Linked DNA regions of Rattus norvegicus. The protein of the gene in region 4 purifies or fractionates together with the protein of the main gene of each other region. This does not show direct contact. Links are inferred from orthologs where the notes say so. Each region holds a gene or a part of one and is shown on either strand. Other genes may lie near its edges.

What was found.
Region 1: the proteins of Pop4 (region 4) and Rpp25 purify together in Homo sapiens (affinity purification with mass spectrometry; 3 studies listed by BioGRID and IntAct, counting the BioPlex papers as one, with this or other methods). This does not show direct contact. The link is inferred for Rattus norvegicus from reciprocal best matches to the Homo sapiens genes POP4 and RPP25.
Region 2: the proteins of Pop4 (region 4) and Rpp38 purify together in Homo sapiens (affinity purification with mass spectrometry; 4 studies listed by BioGRID and IntAct, counting the BioPlex papers as one, with this or other methods). This does not show direct contact. The link is inferred for Rattus norvegicus from reciprocal best matches to the Homo sapiens genes POP4 and RPP38.
Region 3: the proteins of Pop4 (region 4) and Rpp14 purify together in Homo sapiens (affinity purification with mass spectrometry; 3 studies listed by BioGRID and IntAct, counting the BioPlex papers as one, with this or other methods). This does not show direct contact. The link is inferred for Rattus norvegicus from reciprocal best matches to the Homo sapiens genes POP4 and RPP14.

Annotation. Positions count from the first base shown.
Region 1 is NC_086026.1:66,800,670-66,805,992, reverse strand, and holds Rpp25 (ribonuclease P protein subunit p25), read right to left. Parts: upstream 2,732-5,323; 5' UTR 2,547-2,731; coding exon 1,947-2,546; 3' UTR 1,351-1,946; downstream 1-1,350. UniProt on the Homo sapiens protein: Component of ribonuclease P, a ribonucleoprotein complex that generates mature tRNA molecules by cleaving their 5'-ends. Also a component of the MRP ribonuclease complex, which cleaves pre-rRNA sequences.
Region 2 is NC_086035.1:79,821,172-79,827,556, reverse strand, and holds Rpp38 (ribonuclease P protein subunit p38), read right to left. Parts: upstream 4,190-6,385; 5' UTR 4,080-4,189; intron 3,768-4,079; 5' UTR 3,600-3,767; intron 1,565-3,599; 5' UTR 1,555-1,564; coding exon 736-1,554; 3' UTR 649-735; downstream 1-648. UniProt on the Homo sapiens protein: Component of ribonuclease P, a ribonucleoprotein complex that generates mature tRNA molecules by cleaving their 5'-ends. Also a component of the MRP ribonuclease complex, which cleaves pre-rRNA sequences.
Region 3 is NC_086033.1:19,270,385-19,276,030, forward strand, and holds part of Rpp14 (ribonuclease P protein subunit p14), read right to left. Parts: 5' UTR 5,536-5,646; intron 4,193-5,535; 5' UTR 4,176-4,192; coding exon 4,105-4,175; intron 3,987-4,104; coding exon 3,902-3,986; intron 898-3,901; coding exon 821-897; intron 50-820; coding exon 1-49. UniProt on the Homo sapiens protein: Component of ribonuclease P, a ribonucleoprotein complex that generates mature tRNA molecules by cleaving their 5'-ends.
Region 4 is NC_086019.1:100,101,455-100,107,607, forward strand, and holds the start of Pop4 (ribonuclease P protein subunit p29), read right to left. Parts: upstream 3,603-6,153; 5' UTR 3,445-3,602; coding exon 3,438-3,444; intron 1,376-3,437; coding exon 1,323-1,375; intron 14-1,322; coding exon 1-13. UniProt on the Homo sapiens protein: Component of ribonuclease P, a ribonucleoprotein complex that generates mature tRNA molecules by cleaving their 5'-ends.

The DNA.
Region 1 (5,323 bases), on a different chromosome or scaffold from region 4:
AGTCAGGTACCTCAGTTGTCTGGATGGTTTACTGTTGCTGGCCTCAAACTCCACGTGTGTAGCCAAGGACGATCTTTAATTTTTGGTATTCCTCCTTCCACCTCTATGGTTCAGGTATTACAGGCATGCACCACCATGACAAGTTGGGGTGGGCAGGGCTGCGAGTAAAAAGTGAGACTATCCATGCTAGGCAAACACTCTACCAGCCGAGTTACCTCCCCAGCCAAGCCTTCATTCCTTCCATGCTTCTTGCTCCATAGCAGGCTCACAAACACATCTAAACCCCTTGGCTCTCCCTAGAGATTCCTCAAGAACAAGAAATAAGGCCGGACAAATTACACACCTGTAATCCCAGCGTTTGGGAGGCTGGGGCAGGAGGATCAGTTATTATCCAGTCTGCACTACATGGCCAGACCTCCCCTAAAAAGAAATAATTAGGTCAGGGGGGTGGGTGGGAGGCAGAGGGCAATGAACGACAGTCTGGATGACACGAGTCAGTGATTCAAAACAGAGCAGAGATAGTGTTAGGAGAGGAGAGTGCTTTCCCCTAGGCGCCCCTCCATCAGCTGCAGAAACCCACATCCTCACCAGTGGGATTTATTTCAAGGTTCTACAAGCAAAGTGACTTACAAATGTGTTCTCTCCCATCTCCTTTCCAGAGGTGCTGAGTTCCACGGGGTAGCGCCTGCCCTGAAGATCCTGAGCTGTATGCTGCACAGCTCCCCGACTTCCACAGCACACAGCATACCCCCACCCCCTCCAGACTTGGACTTGGGCTGAGAGGCATCTGAGGCTGTTATCTCTCAACCCACAGCTGTGCAGGGCTGAAGGCAGCAGCTTATCAGGGAGCCTGCAGTGATTCACAGCCCAAGCTTCTCTGCTGAATAGTAATTTCCAGCAGTGGATTTGTGCTGTCTCTCTCCCTCCCCCTCTCCCAAGGGTGTGCTGTCCTTTTGCAGAGAGAGGGCAGCGAAGGGGAGCCCCTGCTCCTGGGGCTTTGTGCCTGCCTCTGGGTAAGAATGGCTACTGGGAGGAGGGTGCAAGGTTAGAACCTTAGCATGGTTGGCCAGCCTTGGCAGGCTGCCGCTTCCAGCTCGTCAAGGCTCCCCCTCCTTCCCCTCCCAGAAAAGCAGCAACACTGCTTCCTTTCCCTTGTGGGGATACAACAGGGACACAGACCTCCAACCCCCTCCACCACAAGTCCCTCTTTCGACATTTTTGACGCTGCCCCGTCTGCGTCTGACCTTGAAGACTCCAAAGGCTAATAGGGCTGAAGGCAAGCATGCCAAAGTGGGCTCTGCACAGGCGAGCGGGTAAGGGAAAAAAAAGAGACAAAACTGGGGACGGAGCCATTTTCATGTTTGTTTTATTGGAAGCAATACTCCAGCAGGACTCAGGGGAGGAAGCATGGCAAGTTTCCTCCTGGGTCCCGTCTCTGCCACCATGCAACAGGGGTGAGGGTGGGGGGAAGCTAAAAGGAATATGCTAGGGTGTGGGTGGGCAGAACAGGGTCCAGACATTTTCAACTTGGTCACCCTCAAGGAAACAGCTTCACAGCTCCTGCTCTCAGTTAACAACAAGGACGGTTTTTAAAGCCTCAACTGTCAGCCTCCATGCACACTGGGTGCTTTTAACGTCTGGGTCCCCAAGAAAGCTCAAGAGTCCCACTACCCACCAGGCTTCCCTAAAAAAGATGGCCTAGAAAAGGTGTGGGTGGTGTTCTGTGGCTTCTGGCAACATGTCCCACAAAGTTTTCCTCGGACTTCAAGAATCCTCTCTTGTAATTCTTGAGCTCCCTCTCCTGTCGCCTTGGGATCCGCGTTGTCATTTTGAGGACCAATATTCAGGAACATGGGCCCCTTAAAACCCAGGTAGGAAGGGTGCATGTGGATGTAGGTGTGTTGAAGATATAAGATCCAGTCTAGGTGGTTCAGAGGCGAGAATTCTCAGGCAGTCCGGTCCTCATTCTCAGCCTCTGGCTCAGGCTGAGACCGCTTAGCTGTGCCTTCTCCAGCTGCAGATTCCCCCAGGCTCCTCTTGGACGTCGACACGGTAGGAGGGGACGAAGGACCAGGACTGAGGTTCGGGGGCTGGTAGCCAAGCTGTCGTGGATCCAGTGCGTCCTTTGAAAGTAGGATGGCGAGGCTCGGTACATTCTTAAGTACACTGAGACTGGCGGCCGGATCGCTGGGCGTCTGACCCGGTGTGGGCCCAGGCGGGAGGCTCTGCCACACCTCGCGCACGCTCCTGTAGCGCAGCCGCGTGACCTGGTGTAAGCCCGCCAGGCGGCGCTTGAGAATCTCGGCGCACGTGACGGTCTTGGTGGTGGCCCGGCCGCAGCCGCTGAAGACGATGGCGCGCGTGGCTGGCTGCGCCATGCTAGCGGTGGCGAAGGCCAGCAGGTTGCGGATCTTGCTGCCCTCCTTGACCCGCATGTGTACAGCACCAGGCGCCAGATCTGCAAAAGGGCCAGAGCTCGGGCTGCCACCCTCATCACCGTCCCCCGCCGGCGCCTCCTCCGAGCGCACCTTACGGAAGTTCTCCATGCGCCGTCGTCGCTGGGATCGCAGGTTTTGCCATGGGGCCGCCTCAAGCCCGGGGCTGCATGGCCGCGGGTCGTGCCGGGCGAGGGCCGGCAGGAATTGGGATGCTGGCACCGAGTGAAAGCTGGAGGGTGAGCAGGGAACGCGGAGTCTTCAGCCCAGACTTCTACAGGGTAGTGCTGTTCTACTCTGCGCCCTCGGAGCCTTGTGCTCCGCGCCTTTAGCAGAAGCTCCGCCTGGGAGCGGGATAGGCCCTGCCCCTTAGTCCAGGCCCCGCCCCAACTCTGCGTGTCTAGTCCCAGCCCCGCCAGCCTTTGGGATCCAGCGCTGGTGCTCAGCGGCTGAGCAGGGGTGGTTTGGGAGGTGAAGTTCCCCGAAGTCACCATCTGTCCTCCCTGAACCAGCCCTCTTGCAGGAACAACCTAAATAAAAACTATGCTTGAGGTGCAAACGCCGATTCAAGCCTAGTCCCTAAGCCTTGCGAGTTCCAGCTCAAGGGCATCCCTAGACCCCTCCTAGGTAAGAGATTTCCAAACCACCTCTTGGGGCTTCGCTTCTCCAGCCCTCCAGGGACCTCCCTCCCTTTCTCTCTATATATTCTTGCGTCAAGGACAGCCAGTGCATGGTCAGCAGAGTGTGGGAGGCGTTGGCTGCGGCTGCACGCAGCGCCTTCCCTGGGCTGGGACCGCTACGTCGTGGCTTGGTCTTTCAGTAGCTGCTTGGAATGACTTAAGTTTCAGCTTTGCTCCTCTTGATCATACCTCCAGGCTCCCGGCACCTATACATCTCTGAAATGTGGGAAGTGATGCGTTGGGCCTGCCTAAAGTGAATGGGGAACAGGGGACCATTTCTTCCAAGGCGTTAAATTCTAACATTTATGCCTGAAAGTCCGTTACCAGAGCTGCGTGTATTTTTAAGTGCGTGGCTCAGCCCGTGCTAACGCGGATTTCTGACTTCCAATTCCAGGTGGAATTCCTTGCCAGTCAGCCTTGGCCTCTAGAAATCCAGAGGATTGTTTTTGTTAAACGGAGAGAAGGCAGGTTTTAAGAGGTGGGAGGCAGGGTGGAGTGCCTTGGTGGAATGTTGGGGGTGGGAGTACTTGCAAACTCTGGAAACTCCACAGAATCTAAGGAGAGGCTCGGGCTCTGCTGGGAGGTGAGATGAGCGTAGAAAGATGAGGCTAGGGGCCAAGGGCTGATGAAAGGAAGACGGTTTAATAAAGAGTGACCCTATCTAATCCTCCCCTGGGACCATGTCCTCAGTCTTCAACCGGCTTCCACGAAAGGCAGGGAGTCAGACAGACCTGTTAAAGCACAGGGAAGGAAGAAGCACTAAGGACTGTAAGGAACTGTGTTCTCCAAAGTATCAGCAAGATGGTATCTGGATGAACATAGCTTCAGTCTAGGAGTAGAGCTACCCGGCCCTCCTCTTCCTCTTTGCTGTCTGTGACAATTCTCAGCCCCGCGGCTCAGAACACTGGCCTTATATCTCATCTCTTCTTGGAGTGTGGCTGCAGCACCTGGACTTTTTTTTTTGCCTCAAGTGTGAGTGACTGACTCCAATCTCTTGCTCACACTCCAGGAGTGTGGCTGGAACTGGGACTCTGTCCTAGATCCAACTCTTGCAGACTTCAAAGGAAGGAGCAGGCTCTGGAGGCCCAACCTTGGGACGACACCACCTCTGCTGTGCTCTTGGGCAAGTGGTGGAACTTAAAGTCGGCAGGTTCGGATTGGCTTGAGAAAAAGTTCCAGAAAGACTAGAAGCTATGTAGGAGTGTGCTGGTTGGAAAAGAAGCGAGCTCTGCGTCCCTGGGAGTATGCAAGCCTGAGTTAAACACTTGGAGACCCTGTAGGCAGTACTCTATAATTTGGAAGACCTGGGGACTGCAAGTTTGTTCCATAAGGAAGGGGTGGTTGTGCCTCTACCCAAGTTGGCCCTCAAGGACACCGCCACCCCCTCTCAGCACCACTACCCTCTGCCATAGACTCCCCTATTCACTTTATTTTCGAGTCTGTGGAGGGAGAACGCAGAAAAGGCCCAGTTCCCCGCCCGCGTAGCTTCCTTTCCCGCTCCCTCTGCAGCACTTAAAATGTAAATGCACATCGTGATTAGCCGCGGGGTCGCTAATTACAGCTGAAGCCATTCATTACGCTGTCAGCTCTCTCTGTCGCCTGCCGACTGTGCGCTCCCTCCCGGCCCGGGAGGGGCGGCAGCGGGGGAGGTGATGGGGGAAGGATGCGGGGACTGGGTGGTGCTGGCAGCCTTAAAGCCCAGAACTGGCAGAGGGGCGGTGAGCCGAAGAAACCGGTTGGACCGTGAAGAAACCTTGGTGTCAGAGAGGAGAGAAGCTCGGGAGACTGGAAGGAAGGAGATTAAGTGAGGAGGATGAAGAGGAAGGTTATGTGAGAAGGGATACCAGGATGGGAAGACGGCCAAAGGAGAAATCGTGCGAAATGGGTAGGGACCTTCCGAAAGGGGACAGACGACAGCGGGAGGAGAAAGAAGGTTCAATATGGGGAAAGTGGGTAAATAAAGGCACTATCTTTGCTACACACAACATCATGGTTAGAAAGGCAGCCAGGACGGTATGCTGAAAAAAGCTGGTTGCCCGCCAAACCCTGCGGATACGTTTGCATATGTAAATGTATTTTTAAATACTTACAAGAAAACTGCACACTGGCATCTGTTACCTCTGCAGCCACATCCAGATTTTGTTGCTCTCTTTAAGAAAAGGATTACAAAATGCGGATAGGAAATTAAGTGAGCGTAAAGTCTTGGAG
Region 2 (6,385 bases), on a different chromosome or scaffold from region 4:
CTACTGTAGCTAAGTCTGGCTTAGGTTTTGTTGCTGTTTGTAGTTTGTTGGCTTTGCTTTTTGTTTGGTTTTGGTGCTAGGGATCAAGCCAGGGATTATATGTGCTGGTAAGCACATATTCTGCCATAGAGCTGTGCCCTGATGTACTTTCGATAGATGTTACCTGTTACAAGGAAGTTAATGGTGTGCAGGGAGGGAATTCTCATCCAGACAACCTATCAGGCTTCTTTTCTCTGTCAGTCAAGCCTTTCTGCCAAGCCTGTGTGCATCAGTGCTTACCTACAGAGAAAGCCAAATTACCAGAGTAAAAATGACATGGCGCTCCTGAGGACAGTGTACCGCTTAGCATTTAGTGTCTCTCCCTTGTAGCTGAGAGCCTTCCTCAGCTGTTCACCCACCTTGCTAGACCATGTCTGTGGCTCATTTTCCAAGTTTGGTAGAGATCTGTTAAGTGCTGTAGGAAACTGATGTTCTTGCAAGCAAGCATTGTAGCAGCCTTTAAAGCAGCAAATTTATATGTGCATGGACATTAGGCTTAATAAACTTTGGTTTTGTTAATCATTGTTTTGAGTGTTTTCTGTACTTCATGGTTTTAAGTATCATCCTATCTGCCCCACCCAAAGAGAAAAACCCCTCCATGCAGGATCCTAAGAGCATATGCAGCACACCTGGCTTTATTTGTGTCAACGCTTATTTAGACCACATACTTGCACGAAGTGGCAGGGTCACACAGAACTACTTTGAGGGGTTTTTACTCTTGGGTGGTTTCCTTATCTTACTCGGGTTAGGAACGAGTCTCTTTATTTTCAGGGGTTGTAGTGTTGCAGCTGGAGCTTGTCCACCTTCAGCAAGCTTCCTCTTAAGTCTTGTAAGGTCATCAAATGAAGTGTCCAAAACCTCTTTGTCCTGGCTTTCCAAAGACTCCGTCTCCAAACTGTCTGTGAGACCTTGGGTTCCGTCTGGAAGCCAGGGCACATTTAAGCTGGGCACCCTGGGAATGATGGCTTCTACTTCATCAGCAAAGTCCATGGTGTTCTTTCTGAAGCCCAAGGCTAGCACACATTTTAAGCCAATGACTGGAGCAATTCTCTCGCTGAGCTGAGGTACCTGACAGGCAGGAACGGTTCTGCTTAAACTCAGCTGAATCAAGTGTGAGGTGATGATGGCGGGCTTGACTGACTTACACACTAGAACCAGGAGCAGTTCATTCCTCTCCAGAGCCCGGGTGACCTCATTAACCCCGATGGCCAGCTGCTTCCTGGTGTGCACAGGGGTCCACCCTGACACCCGCACACCCCCATGGGGCTCTTGCGGCTCCTCACTGGTCCCAACAAGCCCGCCTCTCTGCTTTGCTTTCCTTTTCTTCTTATCTTCAATTTTCTGAAGTCCGATCGACTTAAACTTGTCCTCCAGCGTCTGTAGGATAAAGTGCATGTCTTCTCTCTCCAAGCTGCTCCAGGAAATGACATAGGGGTTGTTCAGTGATGTCTTTACAACCAGAGGTCTAGTCTTCCGAATAGATCCCCTCTTTGGTGCCTGAGGAGCTGCAGCCATCTTGAAAACCCTTTGGAAAGAAGCAAAAATGATAAAAGTCATGTTGGCAGTGCATTTTTGAGAATATTTTGGGTATATTCTCGTCTTTTTTTTTTTTTTTTTTTTTTTTGGTTCTTTTTTTCGGAGCTGGGGACCGAACCCAGGGCCTTGCGCTTCCTAGGCAAGCGCTCTACCACTGAGCTAAATCCCCAACCCCCCATTCATTCATTTATAAGCACGTTTACTGCAGTGGGCAGATGGTGTTCCAGACACAGCTGCTGGTGGGCTCTGAATTCCCTGCAACTGCTCACACAGAACTTCTCTTCTGGACTCTCTCAAGTTCATAAAGAACTAGGTCGGATTTTAAGAACCAAAATAGTAATGATCTATCTCCATGGCTAAAACTTTGTAAGTCTCCCTCCTCTCATGATCCCCAAGTTCCTAAAACATTTTAAACATACAGGTTTATTTCCCCTCTCATGTGATCATAAAATTCCTGCTTTGGCTGACAATTTCATGAAAAATAGGAGAAATTTGTGGTGAAATTCTGAGAGTAACTCATTAGGGAGAAATAAATGGGCTGAGCTCCTAAAAGAAAAAACAAAACAAAACAAAAAAAACCCCACAAACCCACTGGCCTATTTGTTCTTCCTAGTGACTATATCATATTAACCTCACAAACAAGTTAGGATGTTCTCAACTGCTCCTTGTCAGGCATCCATTCATTTAGATCCTGTTTATTCTTCCCAAAGGCAACTAAGTATGTAGGTAGATATTATATATAATATATATGTATACATAAATAATATGCATGTGTACTCCTCTCAGTTGTTGTCTCCTTCCTAGAGTTCATCTGAGAACTATAAAGACCCAGTTGACAAAATAAGTCCCCTCTGATTAAGGTTCCTCTAACTCAGGGCGCTTTCTCCACACATCCAGTCCTAAAACACAAGAGTTTGCCAGTGTGGATTAGGAAGCAGATTCACTGTACAACTCACAGCTAGTTTTTCTGAAGACTTTTAATCATGATTCCATCTTAGAAATAACCTGTGATTGGCTTTTAAGAACAGTCAGATGGCTTTACTGAGCTGGGATTTCTGGGAGTACAGCTTCACCAGAGGTACTGGTAGAAAGATGCCCAACGTTTGGAGGTTGGTGTGGGACAGGTGGCATTTCCAAACTGGACAGCTGTAGGAAGTGGTGTTGCAGACTCACTCCTCTCCTGATCCTTCTAGTCCCCGTCCACATAAAGTCAGAATTCCTCCCACTAAAAGCTGCAATCTTGATTCTGTCAATGCTACCCCACTGCCACAGACATTGGCTAATAGCGGCTTCCTTCTCACAACGCACTGCACTGCTCCAATCAATGCCCCAACAGCTGCATACTTCCCACAAGTTCAGACTCAAGAACAGGTCATCTAGATCTAGTGAGGTGACTACCAGCAGCTGGCATCTAGCAGTAGGTGAAATGACCAGGAAGCAAGACAAACAGCCCCACCGCAGCTCTTGCCAAACTACAAGTCAGTTACTGTGTTGCCTAGCCCGTCAGTGTAAGAGGGACACACTCACAGATGCTCTGCAACCAAGGGGACTGCAAGATTGGGATGTACTCTGATTTACAAGAACCTAGAAGGGGAGGTGGAAAAAAGCCAAGTCTACATAAGGCGACTGCCATGCAATATGAATTTTTAAAATGCTGAACGGTAACGGGTTCACAAAGCTTGCTCTTGCTCAAGCGCCTTGCCAACTATGTCTGCAAGCTGCCACTGCCTACAGGACTAACTGCAAACTCAAAATGTTTACCTTTTTACTCACCCATCTCAAACCTTTCTGCTTTCACCCACCACCCATATTACAGGTTCTGAACATTTAGTTTCTCATGTCCTTATTAAGCGTACACTGTGCCTGGTATAGCACTCACACACCAGATGTTTTGTTTTCCATCAAATTCTTGGGACTTATCCTTGCTCCCGGTTATTAGGCGTGGGGCAGAGCAAACAGCTTCTGCGACTAATAAAAACGGCTCACTCTAAAGCCAAAGTAGTGAAGTACCTTGAGGAACATACCTTGAGGAACAGACAGTTAGCGACCTTAGTTGAGAGGGTCAGGAAAAGAAGTCTCTCTGGAGGAAATGACCGTAACAACCGCTTTCTAAAAGAATTCCTTCCGAAGGAAGCGGGCTGCGAGGTATCCCAGAAGAGTATTAAAGTTCAGTATCGCTCGGGACAGAGATGCTAGAGTTGGAGTAAGGACAAGATGGTGGTGACTCTAGAGAGACTTTCAGAAGGGTGGCGCTATTAGAAATGGGTCACAGAGAGACCTTGATTTGGGGAAAGAGACCCTGGATAGGCCGTCAGCAGCAGAGATGCTCCCGTAGTCTCGGGGGAATGATGTCTCACGTCACACCACGCGACGGAAGGAGGCCGGGATCGCCTGAGGCCAGCCGGAAAGAACCTCAGGGAGACCGGGCACTGGATGAACCCCACGCCGCGATGACCCGGGTGCCCACGGGCTGGGACTCGGACCACGGACTCGCATGCACCCACCTGTGCAGAAGCGCCCCGCGGAGACCACGTGACAGATCGATTCACTGCGGCGGCAACTCCGCCACCACCGGGGACCACGGCGCCCGCTCCACGTGCGCCTGCTGCGCGCGTGCGCAGAACACGAGCTCCGCCTACCTGCCGCTCTGCATTACGTCACTCCTAGTAAGGAACGTCAGCCGTAGTTTGGCTACCGAGAGTGGTCCCTGCGTAAAATCCCTCAGCCTGGGACCGAGCTCTGGAGCAGCACTGCGCAGGCGTACGGTCTGTCTCGCGAGAGTCTGTGGTTGCTGTAGTAACCAGCCTCTGCGCTTCTGTCAGGTTGTCTAAGGATGCTGATGTACCAAGCAGCTCCCGGAGTCTGGTTTTGTGAGAGGTGGATCTCTCCTTTCCGCTCGCTGTTTTTAGCCAAGTTGGTTCTGCCTGGGAACTCTGGCCTGCCGTCTCTTTTCGTTCTAGGGACGCAAAGCTCCAGCCCTTATGGCCACCCATTCATTCCCCTGCCCACGTCGCCGCGCCACCACGAAAATCAAATAAGTAGTAGGGCTAACAGGGTTGCGTGTAATTACAATTTATGTGGAGAATCTTGGGCCCTCTGAAAGGAGAATAAGGGCTGCGTTCAGTTCCACAGCGGTACTCCAGAATATGCCGGCAATATCTGTTGTGCCTCCTGACTAATGGAGACTGTGTGTGTGTGTGTGTGTGTGTGTGTGTGTTTTATGAAACAAAATCACTGGAAAGTTACAGACAACTAGTAAAACAGTGGAATAGCGTGCTAAAGATTAAAATTCTGTTGGCTACACTTGACAGGATTTTTTGCTGTTGTTCCTTTCTGACCTCTCAGGACGTTGGGAGGTGTAGTGGCTATTCCTGGTTGTCCGCTTGACTATATCTGGAATGAACTGCAATCCAGAACTGAAAGGCTCACCTTTGATCCTGATATTGAGGCTGGGCGATGGAGATTCGGGTCCTTCTCTTTATTTTCCTTCTAGGTGTCTTCATTGCTCGTTTTAAACTAACGTTTATAGTCTAGCTTCTGCATTTTCATCATTCGCCACTTATTGGACATTTAAACAAAACAAAAGCGGTTGCTTTTGGTCAAGGATTGTTGAAGTTTTTACAGGGAACGTGTGCTATGGTTTCTACCAAAAGTTGATTAAGAAGAACGAAGTCAGGACGAGTTTTGAGTGTGCCAACAGGTTTTTGTCTCATAAAGCGTTCTTTACTATAACCCGCAGTCCTGGTGCGCTGAAGACAAATCGCGGTGATAGAATTGAAATACTAAAGGTTCACATGAAATCCTGGCGCGTGGGAGACTGGGGCAGGAACCTACACACCATAAAAAAAGCAGAAAGAAGGAGCGAGAAAAAGTGTAAAAAGGTAGCCAGACTGCTATGTTCAAACCTTAACCTTACCACTAACTAGTGTACCTACGCCTCGGGCAAGTTAATTAGCCTTCTGTGAAATGATAAAAATAGCCCCTATTCTGAGGATTAGAAAAGAGTTCTGTGTAAGATGCTTACCATGATGCCTGCCGCATAGTAAGTGTCTGACTAACTATGGAGCCGCGATGACCCAGTGACAGTTGTGGCAGAATTAAGTTAATAAAAATTATATATAGCCTCTACTATTTTGGTCCTTGCTTTCTATTTGAAAACTTAGCCATATTTCCACAAGAATTTTACCCAAAAGAATATTTCTCACAGGTAATTTCTTTCCATTTGTGTAGCCCAAACTTTACAGCAACAAAAAATATTTTAAAGTTTTTTTAATCCTTTGTGAAGATGCAGTCACCTCCGTGCATTTTGTTCAGAGTAATCTAATTTATTTCACATAGGTGTGTGCTAAACCCCAGCAATATCAATTCGGTTTATGTTCAGATTTTTTTCTACAAACATTTGCTTCCCATAGTCCCCTTAATTGCCATGCATTTAGTAGTCTATATATACACTGAGTGATCGATTTACCTTTCAATGATAGCTTTTATTTTACATTGAAAACAAGTTATGTTTGCAAATACACAGCTTATGAATATACTGCTTATGAAAATAGTCAAGTCCCAAAGACTATACATGGACTGACCCTGGACTCTGACCTCATAGGTAGCAATGAATAGCCTAGTAAGAGCACTAGTGGAAGGGGAAGCCCTTGGTCCTGCCAAGACTGAACCCCCAGTGAACGTGATTGTTGGGGGGAGGGCAGTAATGGGGGGAGGATGGGGAGGGGGATGGTTTAGGGGGATGTTGGCCTGGAAACCGGGAAAGGGATTAACATTCGAAATGTAAATAAGAAATACTCAAGTTAATAAA
Region 3 (5,646 bases), on a different chromosome or scaffold from region 4:
TTTATAGGCTCCAAACAGGGTCAAAGAGCTCCACAATTTGGCCAGACCACTGCATAAAGATCAAGAAAGCATAAATAAAGATTTTTGTTGTAATAGCGCTTAGTACTTTTGCTTGGGATGGTCTAGGAAGTTGTTTTTTTAGCAAACCAGAAGGCTTATGAAATAGAACCTTAAAAGTAAAAACATATCACAGAGGGTTGGGGATTTAGCTCAGTGGTAGAGCGCTTGCCTAGCAAGCGCAAGGCCCTGGGTTTGGTCCTCAGCTCCAGAAAAAAACAAACAAACAAACAAAAAAAAACAAAAGAAAACAAAACAAAAAAAAAAAAATATCACAGAGAACAAAATGAGCCCCAAGAATCTTTCTGGCCTGGCAAGCATCTAATCGGGGTGCTACTGTGGCCTTTAGCATAACTGGCTAGTGTTGGGAGCCAAACCACAAACTTAACTTGTGTTTTCTCGGTGGTTGTTAAGCAGGGGCAAGCTTGTAAGCTGGAGAAATAACTTGGAAACTGGGCTAGAGGCTGGATCTGTTGGAATAACCTGGAGATGCAGGTCTTGTTGGGGGGTAGCCTGGAAACTGAAGCTAGGTACCAGCCTGTGCTTTACTTGAGTTTAATCTTAGGTCAGGATCCCTAAGATGGAGTCTGGAGTCTGAACCCCAAAGGTTTGGTCTCTGAGAGAAACGTTCACATTAACTCCAGTGTAAATCCCCAAAGGTGCTCAGGGTGCCTGGCCTTGCACTCCCATCCGGGAAGCATCTTCACTGTGCTGTCCCATCACTCTCTCTGCCTGCTACTGTAGAACTGTCCCAGGGTCATACCTGCTGCATACTCTCAAGATGGCTGACAGTGTGGTCTCATCATAAGTGAGAACATCCACAGGTAAAGCAGCGCCAACCTAGGAATGGAGCAATCCCATTAGCAGACTTCCGTGCTCACTCTCGAACTCTAAGAAACCCAGTCTTTCAACAGTGCTGGTGCTCTCACGTGCCTGCTAAGAGCTCTCCCTGCCTGGAATGTTCCCATCCCTTTTCACCTTTGAACCTTGTGTTAAAATGCTCCTTCTCCAGTTGGTGAGATGGCTCAGTGGGTAAAGGTGCATGGTACAAAGCCTGATGACCCAAGCTCCACCCCGTTTGATCCCCAGAACCCATATGGTGCAAGGACAGAAATACCCCAGAGTCGTCCTCTGATCACAACACATGCGCGCACAAGCATTTATGTGTACTAACACACACACACACACACACACACACACACACACACACAGCATATTTATGTGTACTAACATACACATACAGAGAGAGAGAGACAGTCAGACAGAGAGAGGTTTTTTTACAAAAAGCTCCTTTCCTTACAAGATCAATCTACTTACTGCATTCTTTTTTATACCAGACTCTATACTTTGCTCATTCACAATTCTCCCCTCCTTGTCACTCACACTATTTAACAAGGGACAGAAACCATGTCTTATTTAGCTCTATCTCCTGAAATCACATTTTTTATGACATACAAATTGCTGGCTCTATATTTCAATTTGTGGCAATCTATAGGGAAGTACAAACACTCTTCCCTCAGCCCCCCTCCAAAGGCCTCTTCCCTCAGTCCCCCCAAAGGCAGCATCTTATGTCACTACAATGCAGGATCAAAGCAGGTAACTGGTGTCCACACGACTGAATCTACTTAGACCTGACACTATTTGTATGCACATATATTTATATGTGTGTGCTTCCACATAGGCAACTTCTTATAACTACTACCTCTGCCACCAAGATAAAAACCTGGACCATCACAAGACTTTTTCTATTGGTCCTTTATTACTTACACCCACTAACCCCTGGCAGTCACTTCTGTCTACAGGCTATGTTGTAGGAAGAGCAGTATAGACCTAGAATCACCCAGTGAGGAACTTACCCAGGGTTGGCTTTCTCCACTTAACTTTCTAGAGCTTTGTGTAGCACTATCTTTTTCTCTGACAATTATATCATACATGATATGAATATACAATCACTGAATAATCCATCCACTTAAGAACTAATGTAATGTTTCCAGCTCCTGGTTGTTATAAGACTACCATAAACACTGGTGTGCAGTATTTTTTTCCTTTCAACATTTATTTTTTTGTGCACATGTATATTTGTGCACTGTGTGCATGCCTGGTGCCTGAGGAGGCCAGAAAAGGAGAACAGATCTAGAGTAGAGCTACGAGGCAGTTATGAACCACTATGTGGGTCCTGGGAACTGAACCCAGGGGTCTGCAACTGCTGGGACCTCTCCAGGCCGAATGTAGATTTTTGCTTCAAGTCATTTTTTTTATTATATTTACTTATTGTGTACGCGAATATGTGCCCTGATGTACGTATGGAAGTCAGAGGACAATCTGAAGAAGTCAGTTCTTTTCTTCCACCATATGAGCTCCAGGGATCAAATTTAGGTCTTCAGGCTTGGTGGTAGCACCTTTACCTGCTAAGCCGTCTCAGCTGTCTGTGTACACAGGCTCTTCTCTTCTTTCGGTTTTCTGGAGTGAATACCGTGAGTGCTACTGCTGAGGCGTACGGTAAACACGTGATCAGTCAGGTGGCAGCTGGCACACATTCCACTGGTATCTAATATTATCACGTGCTTCTTTGTCAATGGTGCACTCTCTCTAGTGAAATGTCTGTGAAAGTCTAGCCTATTTGATTTGGACTGTTTGTTTTCTTATGACTGGGGCTCCTTGGTGATAGGGTCTTGCTACACATAACCTTGATCATCCAACTTCAGCCTGTCTAGTGCTGTGATTACAGGTGTAAATCATTGTATCCAACACCATCGGGTTCTGAGAGTTCTAATATCCTAGACAATACTTCTTTGTCAGACATAGTTTTCAAATTATTTTCCCCAACCTATATCTCATCTTTCCATCTTCTTACAGTCTTTGCAGAGTCTATCTGAACAAAATAAATCAGTCATGGGAGTTCCTGACAGTCAACCCTATCTTTGTACTCCCCCCTCCCCGCCCCCCATTTCCAAAGTTCAGCTTCTATTAGGTGACTGCTCAGACAGAGCTGCTCCAAGTGTCTGGTCTGTGACAGGCTGAGAAGCACATCGGGATGTCGGCCAGCATCACTAAGCAGTTTGCTTCTGCTCACACTCTCTTAGATTTTCTATCACTTTAAGGTTTATTTATTTGTGTGTGTGTTTCCCCCACATGTATGTATGCATGTCTCTGTACATGTATGGAGGTCTGTTTGCCCACGTGTGTATGTATGTGTGCCTGTGCTACTGCAAGTGTGTGGAGATGAGAAGAAACTCTCAAGAGCTGGTTCTCTCCTACCATACGGCTTCCAGGGACTGAGCTCAGGACATCCTGCTGTCCCTCGTACTGAGGTGTTCTTACTGAAGCATGCTATGCTCATGCGAGCCCTTCCTCTTTCAAAGACGGACAGTGATGTCTCCAGGTTACCAGTCTAGACTATAACTTGATAGCACTGTTCAAGAACAGGTGTCTAGTAGGTTTCTTGCCAAATACAGGATACACTAGAAAAACCTACAGAATTCATTATTTCTGAAAGCTGGCTTCTGCAATTTCTAGTTCCGTTTTAAAAATATGTATTTCTGTACTTCTTACAACCTGCTCTTTGTAGACTAGGAGTAATGTTGCAAGTAATCCCAGGGCTTTGGAGGCAGATGCAGGTGGCTCTGTGAATCTGATGTTAATCTGGTTTACAGAGCAAGTTCTCTAGACAACCTGGCTCATACAGAAGGCCTGTCTCTAACAAAGGAACAAAAAAGTTCTTTTTTTGTTTGTTTGTAACAGGTACAATCAGGCCCAAGGTAGGCCATGATTCCACCAGTGAATTATACCCTTAGTCCTTTTTCTAAAATTTCTTACAAAAACCTTAAGAATGTTAATTCCATACCTCCCCAAACAGGTCTTTCAGCGCTGAAACAAGTAGCTGTTTGAACTGGGCTCCATTCAGTCCAACCCCATGTTCCTGAAACTCTCTGTAAAAAATATTAAGAGAAAATATCACATTAAATGCCATGCTTTTCAGATTCATAAAAAAGAAACAATCAAACAAAAACAGGTTATATAAAACAGAACTCACAAGACGGAACTTACAAGCAGACTTTCATGTAGTGGTACTCCGAAGGGCTCTTATAAACTACCCTTTCATAAGCAGTAGCTGGCATCTTCCAACATGGGGTACCTAGAGGAGTCAAGAGAGCTCATAACCATCAGGTATAGTGTTATTAGTGGTAGTATTGCATTTTTAATGGGAACTTGCCCTATTTTCTGTTGGGACTTTATAAGCAAGAAGCCAACTAGATGTAGCCCCTTGGCCTTGGACCTGAACTATAAGCCAAAACATAGCTGTTTATAATTTACTTAGTCTGTGGTTATTACTGGCAACAGAAGATATACAAACACGGGCACTAATACTATATTGCTCTTTTCATGTAATGACGGGGGAGGGGAGCCTAACTGTGTAGTCCAGGTTGGCCTTTTACTTGATTCTCCTGCTTCATCCCCAGTGCTGGGATTATGGGTGTGTACGGGGCACTCCATACTCAATGCTATTTCAAACAGACCTGAACTCTCAAGAACTTCCGATGTGCTGACACCCCCCCCCCCCTAGAAAGTCTCTTTCCTTGAGTCCACTCAGACCTTGCTCTCCCCCTGGACAGCTCTCATTCCCATTTCAATGTCTCCTCCTTCATGGAGACTTTCTCACACTTGTTCTACAGATGTTTGTTATGTAGTATCTTGTCGTTGGGCCCAAGAGACCAGGGGCCCTCTACCTCTTACCCCAAGTCACACTGTTAGGGAACATTTCAAGAACCTCTCTGGGTCAGACCCAATTCCAAGCACTCTTAGATGATGATAGCCAGAAAAAGGAAATTGGAAGCAAGAAGCTTCATCCCTCTCTTCTGGGCCCAGCAGGGCACGTGCTCAACAGAACACTTGCCACATACGTGACTGAGGTGACGGTGATGGTGATGGCCTCGATGCCCAGTGTATCGAGGTGGTTTCAGGACAGCAGTCACAGTTACTTGATGCTCCTTTGTCACCGACCAGTCTCTACTAGAACCTTGCTTACTTCAGTCACTCACCACCTGACTGACACATACCAGTTGTTTTTAGGCCTTGCCAACTTCCCAGTTGATGCATATTGCCAAAGGCAGTGAAGTGATTTAGGCCTGAGACTTAGGATACCAAAACAACTAAGGAGCAATGCGAAGGTAGATGGTGGTAATGGTCACACAACAATGCATATGACAAAAAAAGAAAAAATTAAATGACACGCTGTATATTTTTCTTTTAGTTTTGTTTCTTGGTATAGTTCTGGCTGTCCTGAAACTCTGACCTTGAATTCAGAGAACCACTGCCTCTGACTCTCAAGTGCTGGGGTTAAAGGTATGCACCACCACTGTCTGGCCTATATATATATCTATATCTATAAAACAAATACATATATAATATACACATATAAATATAAGATACACACATATATATGAATGTATGTATGTGTATGTATATGTATATGATTACTTAGGGCTGGAGAGATGTCTCAGCTGTTCAGAGCACTTGCTGTTCTTGTAGAGAAGCTGGCTGGGTTGATTTTCCAGTACCCACAGGGTGGCTGACATAAGTTTATACTCC
Region 4 (6,153 bases):
GGGTTCCCAGCTCCTGCTCAGAGACATGGGGGTGTTGTTCACTGTTCTTCTGCCCAGACACCAGGGCCCTCATACCCTGTTCCAATGAGCCACTATCTTTGCTGATCTGTCTATCTATCCACTGAGGCTCACAAATCTCTTTTGCCAAGGGTTTGCTCCACACAGCTGCCAAGATGTAGAAGAAACACTCATATGGTACTTGTGACAGTGTCCCACACTGCAGCCAGTTCAAACACTGACTTCCTGTCCTGCTTCTTTGAGATTCCTCTACTGAGGATCCAAGCCCTATTGTGATTTAGTACTTCTCTAATCCTTGTAGGGAAGGAAGCCTGAGACATGGATGATACAGGTTATCCAATCAGTCATGACCAGCTTATAAGGGGAAGGGAGCGGGGGGTTGGTAGGGAAATGAGCCACTCCGGCACTAGGGGAAACTGGGGTTTCCAGGAAGGTCAAGTCCTTTGAGGAGGACAGTGGATATCAAAGTCCTCTTTTTTTGGTTCTTTTTTTCGGAGCTGGGGACCGAACCCAGGGCCTTACGCTTCCTAGGTAAGCGCTCTACCACTGAGCTAAATCCCTAGCCCCTCAAAGTCCTCTTTAATCACTTGTCCTCTGGAGTTGGAGCAGCAACAATGTATTCCTCACCGGGCAACATCAACTGAAACCCTGTTACCTAAGGACTGACCTCTTCCCTGAGTCATTTGCTGGGAAGTCTGGGTTAACTGCCAGCTTTAGGGTAATGTATGAATAGTGACTTCCACCCTCTCTATGCTAAAGCAAGGGAGTGAAAATATAGAATACATAACCTTCGAGGTGCCTGAAGCAGGGATAGCTCAACAATTCATCAACAAGTGACATGAGGACACTTCGGATCTTGTAACTAGGTGGCCTCTCTTTCATTGGGGATTAAAAACTGAAGGTCAACGGGCCTTTTGAAGTCTTGATTTCAAGGACATGTTCCCTTTAGGAGCCATAGGTGAAGCTTCTGCCCAAATGACAAAGCATCCGGAAACACCCAGACAAAACTCCTAACAGCGGCTTATGGAACGGGCTGAGCACTGCCCAGGATACTGGTTTCAGGTGGGCGAGGCTGTCATCCCTACAGAGAGGGGGATGACAGGAAATCAAGGAGTCCAAGTCCCTCAGAGCTGACTCTGGTAGCCTAAGGAAGGAGTCTGGCTCATGAAGACATCAGCACAAAAGGTTTTTATGGGGCCTAGTACACAGAATGGAAAGGAGAGGCGTAATCCATGGGAAAAGACAGTTACACCAGCCTTAGAAGATCCCGAGCCTCCTTTGCCGTCACCTCTGACAGACTGTACCTGCACATCGTGGTCCTTGGCTTCTTTATGAGAAAAGGCATGGTAGATCACAGCTGGGGGACGAAAGACAAAAACAAGGAGAAATGATTCTTCCTGTTAGGAACGAGTATAATAGCCAAGGCTTTTCCAACTAGGACAAGAACTACACTTACTCAGAGAAGATGATCCTTTTATTTTATGCTGCAGTGCTGGAGGACTAATGTGAGGGGAGTGTAATGTATGCTGAGCAGGTGCTTCACTGTGGACGTAGACCCCAGCCCTCTTACGTGTCTGCTTTGTATCCTAGGCTGGCCTCCAACCCACACCAGTCCTGTCTTAGGCTTCCAAGTGCTAGTAGCTGGGATTATACACATGTACCACCACACTGACCTTATAGTGGTACACATGTACCACACTACCCTTCCCTCTTGCCAACTTCATCCTAGAAATTCCCAGGATGTAGTTTTTTTAGAAAAGCACCCCTCAAAGCTTAATGTGTTTAAGAATCACTGAGATCTTATTAAAATTTAGGGTTTTGGTTCCTACTCGACTCTGCATGTTCAAAAAAATTCCTCAATGGGTCACATTTAGAGTTAATCTGATTTTAAACACCCAAGAGTTATAATTACGCTTGGGCAGTGGCTCAGTAAGTCTAGTAAGTCTAGACACTAAAAGTGAGGCGATCTTAATGCGTATGGTTGAAACACTACATTTTGCTGACTACGGAGAGGCTTGAAAGAGGTTTTTTCACACCTTAAAATCTATAATGTATCCTGACCAGATAAGATACAATAGTCTCTTTCCAAATTCTAAATACCATCTTCAGGATGCCAAAACCTCTTTTTTTTTTTTTGTTCTTTTTTTTTTTTTCGGAGCTGGGGACCGAACCCAGGGCCTTGCACTTCCTAGGCAAGCGCTCTACTACTGAGCTAAATCCCCAACCCCGCCAAAACCTCTTTAAACCTCCTGTTTCTCATTTGTTTGGAGGAAAGCATCATGGGGCTCATGACCAGAAAATGCAGTTCACACCATACTCCATACATTCCACTTCTGAGCTAAGTTTGGTGGCATCCCCATCCCTTGAGAGGTAGAGGCCAAGCTGGTTTTACACAGTGAGTTCCAGGCCAGCCAGGAGAACATAGCTGGCTGTATCCCAACAGCAACAGTAAGAAACAAACAAACAAACAAACAAAAATCCATCTCTGTTTCCCTGAGTACATGCTTGAGCAAGCAAACAAACCAAGGCACTTACAAGTTTTATATACAGCATCTAGTTCTCCCTTGAACAATGGATTGAGATTGTGCTTTTTTTGTTTATTGAGAGTGGAACCCCAGGGAGAACTTTGTTGTATTGACCCCAGATGCCTAGCATCAAAACTGAAAGTCTTTCTGCAACATGCAACAGGTAGGGGACACTCACTGCTGGTTGAGCAGTTGGTTGAGTGAGTGTGTGTGCATATATATGTGTGTGTGTATATATATATACACACATATATGTATGCATAATATGTATATATTAATGTCATTAATCTTTCTAAGCAATTTAAAACAGTAGTTACTCCTTGTTATGCACATAGTAAGGTTGTAGCTAAGACATGCTAAGAAACTTGCTCTCTGAGAAAAGGGCACGGACAGGGGTGTGAATCGCCCGATCAGAGGCTTAATCTTTACGGCATCCCCTCTCTACTCTAATACTGCTCCAGTGCTTAACTGCCCTTCTGGGTGCAGGTCTTTTCAGCTCAAATATCAACGCCTTAGGTGTGCGACACGGCCCCTCAGCAGTGTTTACAGGGGCAGGGGCAAGGGTGAAAAGCCAGAGAGTAGAGGGGAGCAGGCCCTAGACATAAGTTATATGGGAAGGTAGTGGCTAGGTCCCGTCAAGGACTTGGACCTACCTCTTCTAGTTCCCCTGAGAAGCCCTTGAGGAGGACACACACACACTCGATCCTGACGTCCATTCCTAGCTAAGAGACTGAGTCGGCCGATTCAGACTTGGGGCCTCGATTTGTGTACTGAGTCCATTCCCTGGAAGATGTCTTCTGACAAGTGTCCCTGACTCATTTCACAGACCAACTTCTGGTTCCGGTGCTCTATAGTCTCACCTCGGCCCCATTCCGCGCCTCTCATTCCACTTACCCTTCATTGTCGGCCAGCTTCCGGAGCGCTCTAATGATGTCTCCTCCAGGCCTCATGCATTCTTTTCCTTTCTTCGCTTTGTTCAGAGGTTTTTACCCCCACTTGGATGCTTTTTTGTTTAAGTTTAAGTTTCCACCTGAAAAAAATCCGATAAGCCCAAGAAACAATTTACAAACTGCACGGACTTGCTCCAGCCGGCGTCAATTTCGGATCAGGCGCCTCTCTGACGTCATCGGCGTGATGGCATCTATGTGCGTCTGTCTCTGGCAACACATGCGCCTTGGGGTTATCTCTGTGGCTTGAGGGAGGGGCGAGGTTTGCAGGTCTTCGCTGTGTCGTTCACTTTGCAACCGACTGTGCCGAGAGCGGTCGGGTCGAGGGTCAGGATTAATGAAGTATAGCGAGGCAAGCTGACATAGAAAGGACGTGAGGGAGATCGGGGACTAGGGAGGGCACAAGTGGTCCGGGGATATCGGCGGTAACGACTTTTTTTTTTTTTTTTTTTTATGCAAGGGGCTCACAATGTGGCCCCGGGTGACCCAGAATTTACTCCCGAGATTAATAGGCACATTTTGTACTGGTGGCCGGGGATTTAGTTCTGTTTCTGCTACTAAATACCTTTATAACCTCGTTTAAAGGTCTCTTTTACTTGATTTACTTGATGTCTTGAGCAAGCAGGTAGATACGTCCAGTTAGTGTAGCTAGTATAACAAAAGTTACATTTTATTATGCTGTGGGCCATTACATAGGTTCACCCCCTAAATTCCTAACTACATTCCTAAGCCTATCATCTCCCTAAGGCTACCCCTCTTGTGTGACTTATCTTAGCTGAAGGTCAGGCCCAGTCTCTAACAGAAGTTTTTGATTGGATCCTGGCAGTAGGGTTCGGGGAGGGGGTACGGGGGTGGGGTGGTGGTGGTGGTGGCTCTCCAGCCCCAGGGCAGATCAAGGTGGCTTCTCTCCAGACAATTGCTCTTGGTGTCTGCTTATATAATTCCACTGGGTGGCATGGGGTTCTAGGACTGGCTAGTTGTCTTGAATGAGTGATGAAACTGGGTTCTGATTATCAGGTGCTGCCTTTGGTGTAGTGGGGTTCCTTGACTAAACATTTTTATATGTCTAAAAGGCATCTTTCTTTCCTTCCTTCCTTCCTTCCTTCCTTCCTTCCTTCCTTCCTTCCTCCCTCCCTCCCTCCCTCCCTCCCTTCTTCCCCTCTCCTCTCTCTCCCTCCCTCCCTCCTTCCCTCCTTCCGGCTGGCCTTCCTTCCTTTCCTATGCTCATTAAATTGCACTCTGATGGTCTAAGAATGTTTGCTTTTTTAAACTGATTTTTTTTTTCACTCCTAAGACCAAGTTTCCCAGACACTTGCTGTGTGGTGTAGGCTGAGCTTGAAAGTGTAATATTCCTGCCTGAGCTTCTGGAGCATTAGAATTTACAGTCTCTCATTACATCCAACCCAGAAAGCATCCTTCAGACCAAGAACATTAGTGTCTGTCATTATGATAAAAGACAAAAGTGATTCCCATAGATCTGGGACACAAAGGCCCAGCCTAGCCTTTTTCTCTAGCCCAGTTATTAGGAATCTCTTAATGGACCCTTTTAAAATATCTAGCTTAGCTTTGGGTATCTGCCAATATTCCCTGTGACTCTCAGACCACAGTAGGGTGTGGGCTTTTCTGAGTAACAGTGACACACAGTTGCATACTTACTAAAACCTTTGCTTTTTAAGGAGAGCCTCACAGTTTGTCACCCTCAGAAAACTATATGAAGAGAGATACCTACTAGGATTTCTGTGGTTCTTGTTTATGAGAGCAAAGTACTGGACACAGTAGTGGACAGGGATGGACTGAGCAAATGAAGTGTGTGCTGATCTCTTTGGTCAATAAGGTTTATCACAAGTGTGAGTGAGTGCACACTCAGCAGGCTGGGGCCGGAGGGTAGAGAGGTTGAGGTCTAAGCATACACACGGAGACCCTGTCTGAATAAGCAAGGAAATGGAAGGTTTCAAAAGTTCTGATGTGTAGGCATCTCTTAGAGTTACCTAGCAGAAGGGTGCCTGGAATATCTGCATTTTAAAAGTTTTTAGTTTATGTTCATTGGTGTTTTGCCTGTGGTTATGTCAGTGTGAGGTGTCAAGAAGCCCTGGAAGGGGAGTTACAGACAGGTGTGAATTACCATGTGTGTGGTGGGAGATCACGCACAGGTCCTCTGGGAGGGTAGCAGCTGCTCTTCATGCTGAGTCCTTCCAGCACCAAGAATCTATATTTAAAAATTGTTTTTAAAAAGTCAGTCAGTCAGTCAGTCAGTCAGTCAGTGTGTGTGTGTGTGTGTGTGTGTGTGTGTGTGTGTGTGTGTGTGTGTGTGTTGGTTTGAAGCCACCCCGTGTGGAACCTCTGGAAATGCTACATGTGCTTTTGATCCCTGAACCATCTCACCAGCCCCCAGAAGGAGCAAGCGTCCTTGTGGCTTTGTAGAGCATCTTTGGGGAATATGATCACGTGGTATAGCCGGGTCTTGAGGTAGAACTAGTCCCAATTTTCTAAGAAACCAGCAAATTGATTTCCAGAGAGGTTGTACAAATCTTTATACCCATCAGCAATGTAAGAGTGCTCCCCTTGCTCCACATCCTTGCCAGTATGCGCTGTCATTTGAGTTTTTGGTTTTAGCCATTCTGATGGGTGAAAGGTGGAATGTCAGAGTTGTTTGATTTGTATTT